Linked DNA regions of Mus musculus. The protein of the gene in region 1 interacts with the protein of each later gene in a pairwise test. Links are inferred from orthologs where the notes say so. Each region holds a gene or a part of one and is shown in the gene's direction. Other genes may lie near its edges.

Region 1 (5,651 bases):
TCAAAAGAGAAAAAAAAACGGTAATTGTATTTGATAGGATGCCAAGTGAATGAGAAAGGAAAGCCAGCCCCAGCTGACCTTTTCCACACCCTAGAGTTTTCACACAGTTATACTAGATAAAGAACAGAGCCAGGACAACCATAGAAACCAAGAGAGCTGGTAACAGGAAAGCTTCCCCTCCTGCCTTTTTCCTTCATAATGTCATCTGAACTTTGTGTGCTCATTCCCCAGCTCTGTGCATGGCTAGTATGCCCTCAGCCTTTAAATCTCAAAGGGCCACCCCTGATCAGTCTAACCTCCTGGCTTTCTCTACTGCATCACTCTGTTTGCTTGCATTGAATGCAATGATGACATTTACGATGACTTTGTATATTAGCTTCAGACAGTTTCAGAGAGTAAGAGCCATTTCCATCTTTTGTAGTGTGTGATGATTCAAGTTGGAGTTTTTCAACTTTGCCTTACTGCCAAACCCATCAGCTCTTAGTAAAAACCATACACCAATTTTGGATTCTGACCTTTTGCTTGGCTAACAATGTGCTCTCCATACTCAACAAGCCACATGCCCTTCAGCAGCTGCAGCATCAGTACACACCACATCCACTACAGTGTGCTGGGCTGCTGGGCTGCTGGGCTGTAAAATGCAAAGTGTTAAAAATATCAAAAGCATTTTTACTTAATGATATTTTCAATTTAATCTGGGTTTACTAGATGTAACTACAAGATGGGAGCATCTATATGCCCAAAATCTAGCACATAAAAAGCACACAATGAATATTTGTGGAATAAAACACTCATTAGTTAAGTCTAGTGTGATAATCGGACTCTCCACCCAATTAGAAGCTCATGGAAAGCCAGGTGAGTTTCTGAGGTTTTGTTGAATTGATTCGTCCTTGTTGGCTGCTTTGTGTAACCACTCTTCACCTGTGCATTGAAGAAATTCCTTGCGTATTATCTACATATCTTTTTTAGATAGGTAGCCCTCTGTTTCTCAGTAATTTTTGTTATTCTTCTAGACTCTTACCTTGGGACTCTCTTTCTCCATGTTACTAAGAGCCAAGATTCTATTTAAATAAAGGAAGGGTGGTGGAACTAAGAGAGAAAGGACATTTCACCTTTCCTCCCTCTACTTCATTCTCAACCAGAGACAGATTTAGATGAACTTCTTCTGATGAACCATTTAGAAAAGTTGATTGCTTTACAACCATGGAGGCAGCCTCGAAACTTTGCTTTCCTCAGCTTTGAACAGGGTCAGAAACTCATATCCTAGTTGGGCCATGCAGAGCCCTGGTCACAAATTTTAAAAACTGACGCATAGGAGCAAAATATGTTAAATACTGAATTGTAGAACATGAGGTAAAAGAAGTAATGTCAACAGTCTGTGTTGATATGACTGCTTGATTTTGTTCTTGTATCTCATTTTATTTTCATTTTGCTATTTATTAAAAGAAGAAACTCTTTGATTTGTATTAGGTGTCATCTAAAAATGCCTCCTTCCCAAGTTGTTTCATACAAATAAGTTACCTTTACCTTCATAGACTAGACAGACATTAGCACTAATTCTATTACCTACCACCTTCATCTGATGAATGTGTTGGATGCAGGTCTGAGAATGCTTCACCTTGCCCAAGGTGCCTGATTAATAAGTGATGAGGCAGAAACAGGACAGAGAAACAGTACCCTGTGATTGACAGGCCAGCATGTCTTGGTCCTTGCACAGAAGTGCTTCTCCAGCTTGCATCTTCTTATTAATTCCTCCCAAGTCATACACATGCTTTTACTCTTTATTATACCAACTTAAAATTTTACTGTGCATTTGTTGTGCTGAACTTAGAAATTCCATGGAAATTCATATTTCTCTCTTCAGCCCTAGGCTTTTCATCACCCTTTTTCTCCTAGGATCTCTTTTGAATCAGATCATTTGCTTTAGGTCCCTGATACAGGGGGTCTCATTGGGAGCCTCACTCTGGAGTGGGGACTAGCTGTGTGGGAACCCAAGAGGACCACATTGAGAACCGCTGAGTCTTTCTTAAGTGTTTTTCTGTGCCCCAGGTCCAGGGAAAGAGTTGAACTAATTGATAGGATCATCTTCATCTTGAAATATAATTCTTTTAAAATTGATTAGTATCAGTCAGATGTTGGTTTTTCATAAGAAAATATTCTCATACACTGTCAAAAACAAGTTCAAACAAAAAAGTTTCAGTCAAGAATTAAAGAAATGGATGTGTTTTTTCTGAAAGACCAGAAACCTATAGCCTGTTCCTTTGAGTGTTTCTGCCCATTTATTACACCAACCAAACACTAGACAAATCTTTCCAAATTCCTACTTTATCTAAGTGTATCCTTCTCCAATTCAAGAAAACATCTCTACTTGTGTTGGTTCAGTGCTCCAAATTAACAAACACACACAAACAAACAAACACACAAACAAAACCTTGAATGTTCTTTGAATTCAAATTATCATAAAGAAGTTAAAAGACACAGCTGTGTGTATAGAAAGTGGAGATTTAAATTTTAGCTTTCTTAATGTTCTCCTGATACCTGTTTAATTGGAAATGATCTGAATTCTAGAAATTAAAACTCATGGAATTTATACACTGATGAGACAACTCAATGGCTGAGAACTCTGGTTGCTTTTGCAGAGGACCCAAGTTCATCAGCACCCACAGTGTTAAACTCCAGTTCCAGGAAATCTAATGCCCTCTTCTGGCCTCCACAGGAATTGTATACAAATAGTGCATTTATGTACATGCAGGCAAACCACTAACACATAAAATGAAATAAATCAAGAGGGGGGATTTCAAAGCTTCTGGAACTTTTATATTGTTCATTTTTTATAAAGTCATATTCTTGCACCACTGCCATTTATCACATTCAACATTCAATATGCAATGAAGATTAAATAGGTTGAAAATGGCCATGAGAATGCTAACAACCCAGGAAGGAGAAACAGCAGACACACAGTGACTGCCGACAGCCACCTGAGACACAGCAGGGATTGAAAAGCAGAGGCAAGGGCTGCAGGAGTGCAGGGGTGCAGGACTACTGGGATATTGTAATGGGGTAGAACAAAGATCCTACTGGTCAGCAATGCCCTTCCTACTTGGAACTCATGGGAGTTCGGCCTCTAGAATTCTCACATCCAATATCTATGACTGAGCCACACTGCCTGTGGAGGGCGCAGCATAATTCAATGCCGTGTTGAAATGAGTTCTGTTCCATCTCAATTAGATTGGAAATTCCCAGAGGACCATGTTGTATCTTTCTGGGAAACCTCCACAGTTCTTTGCACAGTGCCAGGCATACAAATTGCATCCAAAAACACATCTAATGAATAAATGGGCTCATATAAATTAGAAAAATAATTAGTGCTCAATTACAGACACAGAGGTTATTTTGCAATGCCCCGTGGTGAATTAAAGTCTAGGGCCGCATCTTTGAGTCTGAGCCAAATAAGATATTGCCATCTTGGTTAACCGTTATTTAAATGTTTACTTTCCTTGTCCTGTATTATTATATCTCTCAGGATTCTTTTGTTCATCCAGCTAATGAAATGAGGATTGGGGAACTTCACCCTTCATTAGCTGAGACCCCTCTGTACCCACCCAAACTTGTTCTGCTAGGGAAGGACAAAAAAGGTAACATCGTGAAGCCGATGTGGAACTGTGCCCGATGCATGTGCATGATAAATCGCCACTTATACATTATGACATGCCATAGTCTATAAGTACTCGCACACGTGTGCTTCTGACATTAATCCATATGGAATCTGCTTTTCATACATCTTTTGTATCCGTCAGTGTTCGTAGCATTGTAACATGTTTCCCCTTTAAATTTCAGAATCAACTGATGAGTCTGAAGTTGACAAAACTCACTGTCTGAATAACAGTGTCTCCTCAGGCACCTACTCAGACTACTCGCCCTCCCAAGCTTCCTCGGCATCCTCTAACACCCGGATGAAAGTGGGGTCCTTGCAGGCAACAGCTAAAGATGCCGTCCATAACTCTTTGTGGGGTAACAGGTGTGTTGAGAATTTCCCCTTCTGGGTTCCCAAATGTTCGTTGTCAGCAATTTTGACAAAGTGGAATCTGCTTTATGTTGGAATTGTGTTTGGCATGTGAGTTGCACAGAACACAGAATATGCAGGTAAGCATGTGGGCTCACCTGGGACTTTGGAGGGCATCAAAACCAACTTCCAGGGCCTGGCATCCATGCAAGGCCAGTGGGAAGAGGCTATGGGAAGTCACAGTGGGAACTAAAAGCTTGAAAGTGAAAATTTGTGTTTGACCATCCCTAATATATATATATATATATATATAATTATAAGTATGTATAACTCAGCATTATTAGCAAATGAATTCACATACTCTGGAAAAACAGGCATGCTGGAAGTGGCCACTGGCTCAAATGTGCTACTAGCCCCAAGCATAGTACAGTCAATATGATAGACAATCCCTTGATATAGGCCAATAGAATTCTATAGGCCAATAGAAGACTATGAAATCGTGAGAAGAAGGAAGAGATCTTAAGGGAGGAGGAAAGAGAAAGCAACAGCACACGTGACAAGAAGTGAAAGGGAACACTTAGGGAAGAAGAGTAAAGGAGAGGACCGAATTAGAACAAAGTCTAATAGCACCCAAATCTGAAGATGCTTTTTATGCTATTTTTTAATTAATTATTTATCTACATTCCAGATGTTGCCCCCTCCCACAATTCTTCTTCCCACTCGCCCTCCCCTCTGCCTCTGAGAAGGTGCACCACTCTCTACCCAGGAATTCCCCTTCTCTGAGGCCTCAAGTCTCTGCAGGATTAGACACATCCTCTCCACCTGAAGCCAGACAAAGCAGTCTTCTGCTACATATATGCCAGAGGCCTCGGACCAGCCTGTGTATGCTCTTTGGTTGGTGGCTTAGTCTCTGGGAGATCCCAGGTGTCTGGGTTAGTTGAGATTGTTAGTCTTCCTATGGGGTTGCCACCCCCTTCAGCTCCTTCAATTCCTCCCCTAACTCTTCCATAGAGGTCCCTAACCTCAATCTAATGGTTAGCTATAAGTGTCTGCATCTGTCTCAGTCAGCTGCTAGTAGGGCCTCTCAGAGGACAGCCATGATAAGCTCCTATCTGTAAGCACAACATACCATCAGTAATAGTTAGGCTTTGGTGTCCCTGCTCCCCCCACCCCACCCCCCATGCGATGGATCCCAAATTGGGCTGTTCACTGAACAGGCTTTCCATCAGTCTCTGCTCCAATTTTGTCCCTATATTTCTTTTAGACAGGAATAATTCTAGGTCAGTAACCCCATCAGTCCACTTGGGGCCCTGACTATCTACTGGAGATGATCTCTTCAGGTTCCCTCTCCCAACAGTTGGGTATTTTGGCTAAGGTCATCCCCATTGAGCCCTGGGAATCTCTCATGTCCAGGTCTCTGGGACTTTCTAGAGGGTCTCCCAGCCCCCACAAATTAATGAAATAAATAAAATAAAACTGGAGACTTGATCTTATCTGAAGACAGCTTGTACTGATTAGAAATGCCAGCATTTTTAAATTCTTTCATTTGGTGGCTTAGAAGTGTTGTGAGTCAGAAATTCTAGAGAAAAGCAGGGGAAATCCCCTTGCCAGTCACTCTTCAGAACCATGGTTGAAAGAGTACATTCTT
Region 2 (5,651 bases), on another chromosome or scaffold:
CATAGACTATCACTGAAGAAGTCAGGACAGGAACTCAAACAGGGAGAGAATATAGAGGCAGGAGTTAGTTCAGAGGTCACAAAGGAGTGCTGCTGCTAACTGGTTTGCTCCATGTGGCTTGCTCAGCCTGCTTTCTTATACAACTCAGAATCACCAGCGCAAGGATGGTACCACCCACAATAGTCAGAACTTTGATCACTCATTAAGAAAATGCCTACAGACTTGCCTACAACCTCATCTTATGGAAGCATGTTTTTGATTGGGCTCCCTCCTCTCAGATGTCTTTAACTTTTGTCAAACTGACATAAAGCTATCCAGCACACTTCCTCAGTACCATAGTCATCTCTACCCTTCTCCCCACTGTGCCCATGTTGTGTCCCCACTAGGCTGATCCTGTAGGCTACCTTTGCCTACTGGGTGCTATCGGAGGAGAGATCAGTGGAACTAAAGTATGAATCCTGATAGGGCATAATTTGTCTCTGCTTGTTCCATCTCCAGTTTCCACTATACTGGTTCAGCGTTCCAGCAATCCTAAAAGGTTGGATGGATAGGGTGCTGTGCCGAGGGTTTGCCTTTGATATCCCAGGCTTTTATGACTCTGGTTTTCTCAAGGTATGTTCTCTGGAGATAAGGATCACTACAGATCTGTCCAATGGAAGGAAATTGAGGACATCTATTAATTTATATTTCTAATTTGAATTTTTGCATTAGATATGTAAATATTCATTAAGCAGTTAATTCTGCACAACACACCTTATGGATGACAAGTACATCCTTTTTTAATTCACAGAGCTTTTTGATAGTGGGGGGTTATCCATCCACACTAATCTACACACAAGGCAAAGAAAGTATGGGCAGAGTACTCAGCAAGGGCAAATGACATGGACAGTACCTTTATCAGCCCCAGTGCCAGAGTACCAACTCTGTGACAGTCTGGCTGGTCTTGTATACCAGTTGACACCTTTGGGTCCATATGCTTACCCTGGGGGGCTGGTAATCACACAGTTCCTATATTGTAGGAAAGGGTGTGAAACCTGGTAGGTATCATGAATAATATCTGTATCTTATTGAGAGAATGTTCTGCTAAGCAAATGGCTTTAAATTCTAAAAATTTCAGAAATTAAATGTATATGATGAAAATGAACCAGGTAACCAAGATGCTGACCTTCATGGCACAATCATCCTGTGTAAGCACTATCACCTTTCCATTAGCCCTGTGGTCAGTATCTCAGGTCTGTCTCATTGTGTCTCTGAAACCTAGTTCCCTGAGAAGTCCTGTATGTTAGAAGTTTGATGTTCACTTGTCCCTTTGCTGCCTGCTCTGTCCCCATCCCTGTTAGGGCATTAGTTATCATCTTTAAATAGGCCCATGGGACATGGGAGGATTACGTCTGTCTACCCTGGAAAAAACCTGACCCCAGACTCCCTTCTGGCCATCATAAACCTCTGTACTGCACCATAGGAGCACAGTTTCCTCTTCTTGTAGTCACATTATGCATTTACTTTCTCCCCTGCTTGTAGGGTAAATTAGCTCTCCTTTCCTTAACCACGGGAGGTACAGCGGAGATGTACACAAAAGATGGGGTCAGTGGAGATTTCCGGTACTTCCTGTGGCCACTTCAGGTAAACATGCCTTCTCTACTTTGCTGGCCCACTGGACAATTCCTCACCCTGCACCCTACATACACATACATGCACATATGTCTTATAAGCTTGACACTCCGTATCATTTTGACTCCCAACTAGATAGAGAAAATAATAACATTTTATCCTTATTTTATTTTTTAAATTGATAGCAGTTTAAAGGCTGGCTAAGAGGGAGAACATACAACTTTTGATAATGTTTGACTCAAAGTTAAGCCAAACCTAGTTAGCCTGCTGTCTGTTTTCTGGGGATTGTGATGGCCCTGAGGTGGGACCAGGTGTATGGGTATGAGTGATGAGCAACAGCAAGGCCTAGAGAGCCCTTTCCAGACTTACAATGATCTACAAAGCTAGCAACACTCCTTAGCCTTGGTGAGGGGTACCATAGACCCTGTGATATGGATAGCTTCACCTGAGCCTCTGAACAACCTAGATAGATGAGTAGCTGAATAGCCCTTTATAGAAGAGAAAGGTGATGAAAGAGTGAGTTCCAGCAGGCTAAGATGCCCATGTGCATGGAACTTCCTGATGAAGGACAGAGAACAAAGGGCAGACTTCAGGGCAAAGACTCTTAGGAGTCCTTGAAACCTAAATGGATGTACTACACTTATGAGGAAAGCTTGTACTTAATAGTTAGAGAGATTGCTTTTGTCAACGTAGACATCGTGGACAGAAGCTGCAGGTATGCGTCTGTGGTGGAGCGAGTGCTGAGTGTATACCATGCCTAGTAGAATTTGAGCTCCAGCTTCCTCTAAGCTAGTTGTGGTAGTGCATGCCCATAATCATCACTTGGGAGGTGGAGGCAGGAGGCTCAGAAGTTCAGAGTTATCCTCAGCTACACAAGCTTGAGGCCTGACTGAGCAGTAAGAGTTTTCTTTATATAGATAGTATGTATTTAAGTTCATTCCTTGCCTTTGTTGTTTGTTCTCATGTTTGTGTTATGGAAGTGTGTGTGTGTGTGTGTGTGTGTGTGTGTGTGTGTGTGTGTGTGTGTGTATGCACTTGCCCATACATGCATGTGTGAATGCTAGAGGTCAGTTTCAAATAAATTCCTTGATCACTTTCTACCTTATTTTTTGAGATTACATCTCTCATTGACCATGGTGCTTGCTGATTTGGCTTGACTGCATGGCTAGTGAGTCCCAGGATCTGCCTGCCTTTGCTCTTCTCCCGACATATACTGGGGTTACGGATCAATGCTGCCATACCCACTGAGGAGTCTCTTTTTTTTTAATTTATTAGGTATTTTCTTCATTTACATTTTCAATGCTATCCCAAAAGTCCCCCATACCCTCCCCCCCCCACTCCCCTACCCACCCACTCCCACTTCTTGGCCCTGGTGTTCCCCTGTACTGAGGCAGATAAAGTTTTTGAGACCAATGGGCCACTCTTCCCAGTGATGGCCGACTAGGCCATCTTCTGATACATATGCAGCTAGAGACACAGCTCCAGGGGGTACTGGTTAGTTCATATTGTTGTTCCACCTATAGGGTTGTAGACCCCTTTAGCTCCTTGGGTACTCCTCCATTAGGGGCCCTGTGTTCCATCCAATAGCTGACTGTGAGCATCCACTTCTGTGTTTGCTAGGCCCCGGGATAGTCTCACAAGAGACACCCACTGAGGACTCTTAACTGCTGAACCATTTCTCCAGTCCCCAGTAATGGATTTTTAAGAACTGATTTTCAATAAATCATAACATCTGAGGGAAAGTAATATAAAAACATATATGTGGGCTTTTTGTCCTCTAACTCCACCTGATAGGGAAGGCTTGGATGAGCATGTGAGTTGGGTTTTTTGTTTGTTTGTTTGTTTGTTTGTTTTTGTTTGTTTGTTTTTTCAAGACAGGATTTCTCTGTATAGTCCTGGCTGTCCTGGAACTCACTTTGTAGACCAGGGTGGCCTCAAACTCAGAAATCCGCCTGCCTCTGCCTCCCGAGGGCTGGGATTAAAGGCGTGTGCCACCACACCCGGCGCATGTGAGTTTTTAAAAGCATAGTGCAAAAGACCAAGTGTGATATTTCTAGGGAGAAAGTAGGCTTGTTTTGAAAGATGATTCCAGTTAGTGGATTAGTGGTACTCCATTAAGGTCAATTACAATCTGTGAGCTTCCCTCTCTGAAGGCTAGCCATTCTCACATATGTCCTTGACTAATCTTAAATCTTGTTTTAAAAACATGTATTTTACCCCAGTTTATAATAACATAAAGTAAAAGTAACGGTAAACATAATTTAAAAAATTAAAAGTCCACTTAATCTACACTTCTAGAATTACTTGTAATTTATTTCCTAATGGCCTAGATAGAGCCTTATTTATTATTATTCTACATAAGTAGTATACAACAAATATTGCATAAAATTTGTTTTGATTTAACCAGTATGGTCAACAGCAGCACATCATAGCTAAAATAACCTCTCTGTGCTTAGCACTGAATATATAATAACATATTTTGACAAATATATTTGCAAATAGCATATTTGGAAAAATATCATAGTTTGCCAAATCCATCAAAACTCTGCTTAGTGGTGGATTCATTAGTAGAGATCTGTCTGTAAATTCCAGCTGCCAGGTTCTTCTGCTAATGAAGCACTCTATCCTGCAGCTATCCAGAAGAGGGTTGTTATCAACTACTTTGTAGCATTGTTTCATAATTTTTAAAGCTTAATCACACAATTTCCCCCTCTACTAGTTTAACTGAATGTACATAAAGAGTGTGGTTATGATTATTTCTTTTCTTTCTGGCTTCAGCATGGTACACTGCACTTCTGTGGATTTAAAGTCCTTGCCCCCCAGATCAGTTTTGGTCTTGATGTTTCATCAGAAGAAGAAAGGAAAGTGATGCTGGCATCATGGGCCCAGCGGCTGAAGAGCATCTGGAAGGAAGAACCCATCCACTGCACACCCCCTTGGTACTTCCAAGAGTAACATTTTGTGCTCTGAGTACAGCTGACAAGCAACACAGTGAGAGACCTACAGCATGTGCAAAGAGAAGGTGGTGTTGTATCCTGAGATGTATTTAACAGTGCCCACCAATGAGTGTCTTCAGTTTAATACAACTAGTTCAGATATTTCAAAAGTCAGCTTGTTGCACTGTATTAGTTCTACCTGGTCATTCATTCATTTTTCAGTTCTTTAATGTTTCTCTAAAATTTCTACTTTTGTAGCATAGTTTTCTATATTATAAACCAGGGCAGTGGGAATTGCTTCTCTACAAAGAGAAGGAAATGGCCTCACCCATGGTTATGTTATTAGGCACCATTCCCTTAGGAACACAGGGCCTTAGTGACCTTGCAAAATCCTTGTCTCTGTGGAATTCAGTTCCTTGAGCCACTCTGAGCAGAGGTGAGTAACAAAGAAGGAAGCATTGTTAATGTCAGAAAGTAGGGGGAGTGTGGTAGAAAATCCTAGCAGCTCCAGTCTCCAAAGTACAGAGATGCTGGCAAAAGTCTCTAAGTGGAGAACACAAGCCCCAGAAGATGGTGAAACACAGGGATTAGGAATTAGGTGGTTTGTGAGCAATTCCATGATGGAGGTGGTATAGCATCCTTGGAGAAACCCATCTTGTTACATGAGACCTTCCCACTGATGAGTGTGCTAGGCCAACAGTCTTGCCCTTCAAGTATTACTCCACTTGGATTACACCAGAGCCTCTTTATCTAGTACAGTAGTAATTGGTCCAGCACCACTGAGACCATCTGGCAAGAAAACCAAAGGCTTTAGTCTACAAAAATACAAAGAAAGTGAAAGTATTTTGGAAATTAACTGCTGTTTGAGTTTTGTTATTTGTTTGTTAGCAGTACTAGTTATAATGGTAAGGAAAAAGTATCTAACACATACACACACACACACACACACACACACACACACACACTGAATGAATATTTAACATGCCAGAAACTGCTAACACTTTTTAGTTATATGGTAGCTCATTGAATTCTTTTAATAGCCTTGTAAGCAAGAAAAGTTGTCTCATTTTATAGGCACAGACACTGAGGCAGAATTAAGACTAT

The links. The genes of interacting proteins can lie anywhere in the genome.
Region 2: the proteins of Lrrc7 (region 1) and Nqo2 interact in a two-hybrid assay, tested with the Homo sapiens proteins (2 studies listed by BioGRID). The two-hybrid records come from large-scale screens. The link is inferred for Mus musculus from reciprocal best matches to the Homo sapiens genes LRRC7 and NQO2.

What each region holds. Positions count from the first base shown.
Region 1 is NC_000069.6:158,162,259-158,167,909, reverse strand, and holds part of Lrrc7 (leucine-rich repeat-containing protein 7), read left to right. Parts: intron 1-3,523; coding exon 3,524-3,635; intron 3,636-3,837; coding exon 3,838-4,018; intron 4,019-5,651.
Region 2 is NC_000079.6:33,980,927-33,986,577, forward strand, and holds part of Nqo2 (ribosyldihydronicotinamide dehydrogenase [quinone]), read left to right. Parts: intron 1-498; coding exon 499-612; intron 613-1,521; coding exon 1,522-1,623; intron 1,624-4,389; coding exon 4,390-4,566; 3' UTR 4,567-5,651. UniProt on the Homo sapiens protein: The enzyme apparently serves as a quinone reductase in connection with conjugation reactions of hydroquinones involved in detoxification pathways as well as in biosynthetic processes such as the vitamin K-dependent gamma-carboxylation of glutamate residues in prothrombin synthesis.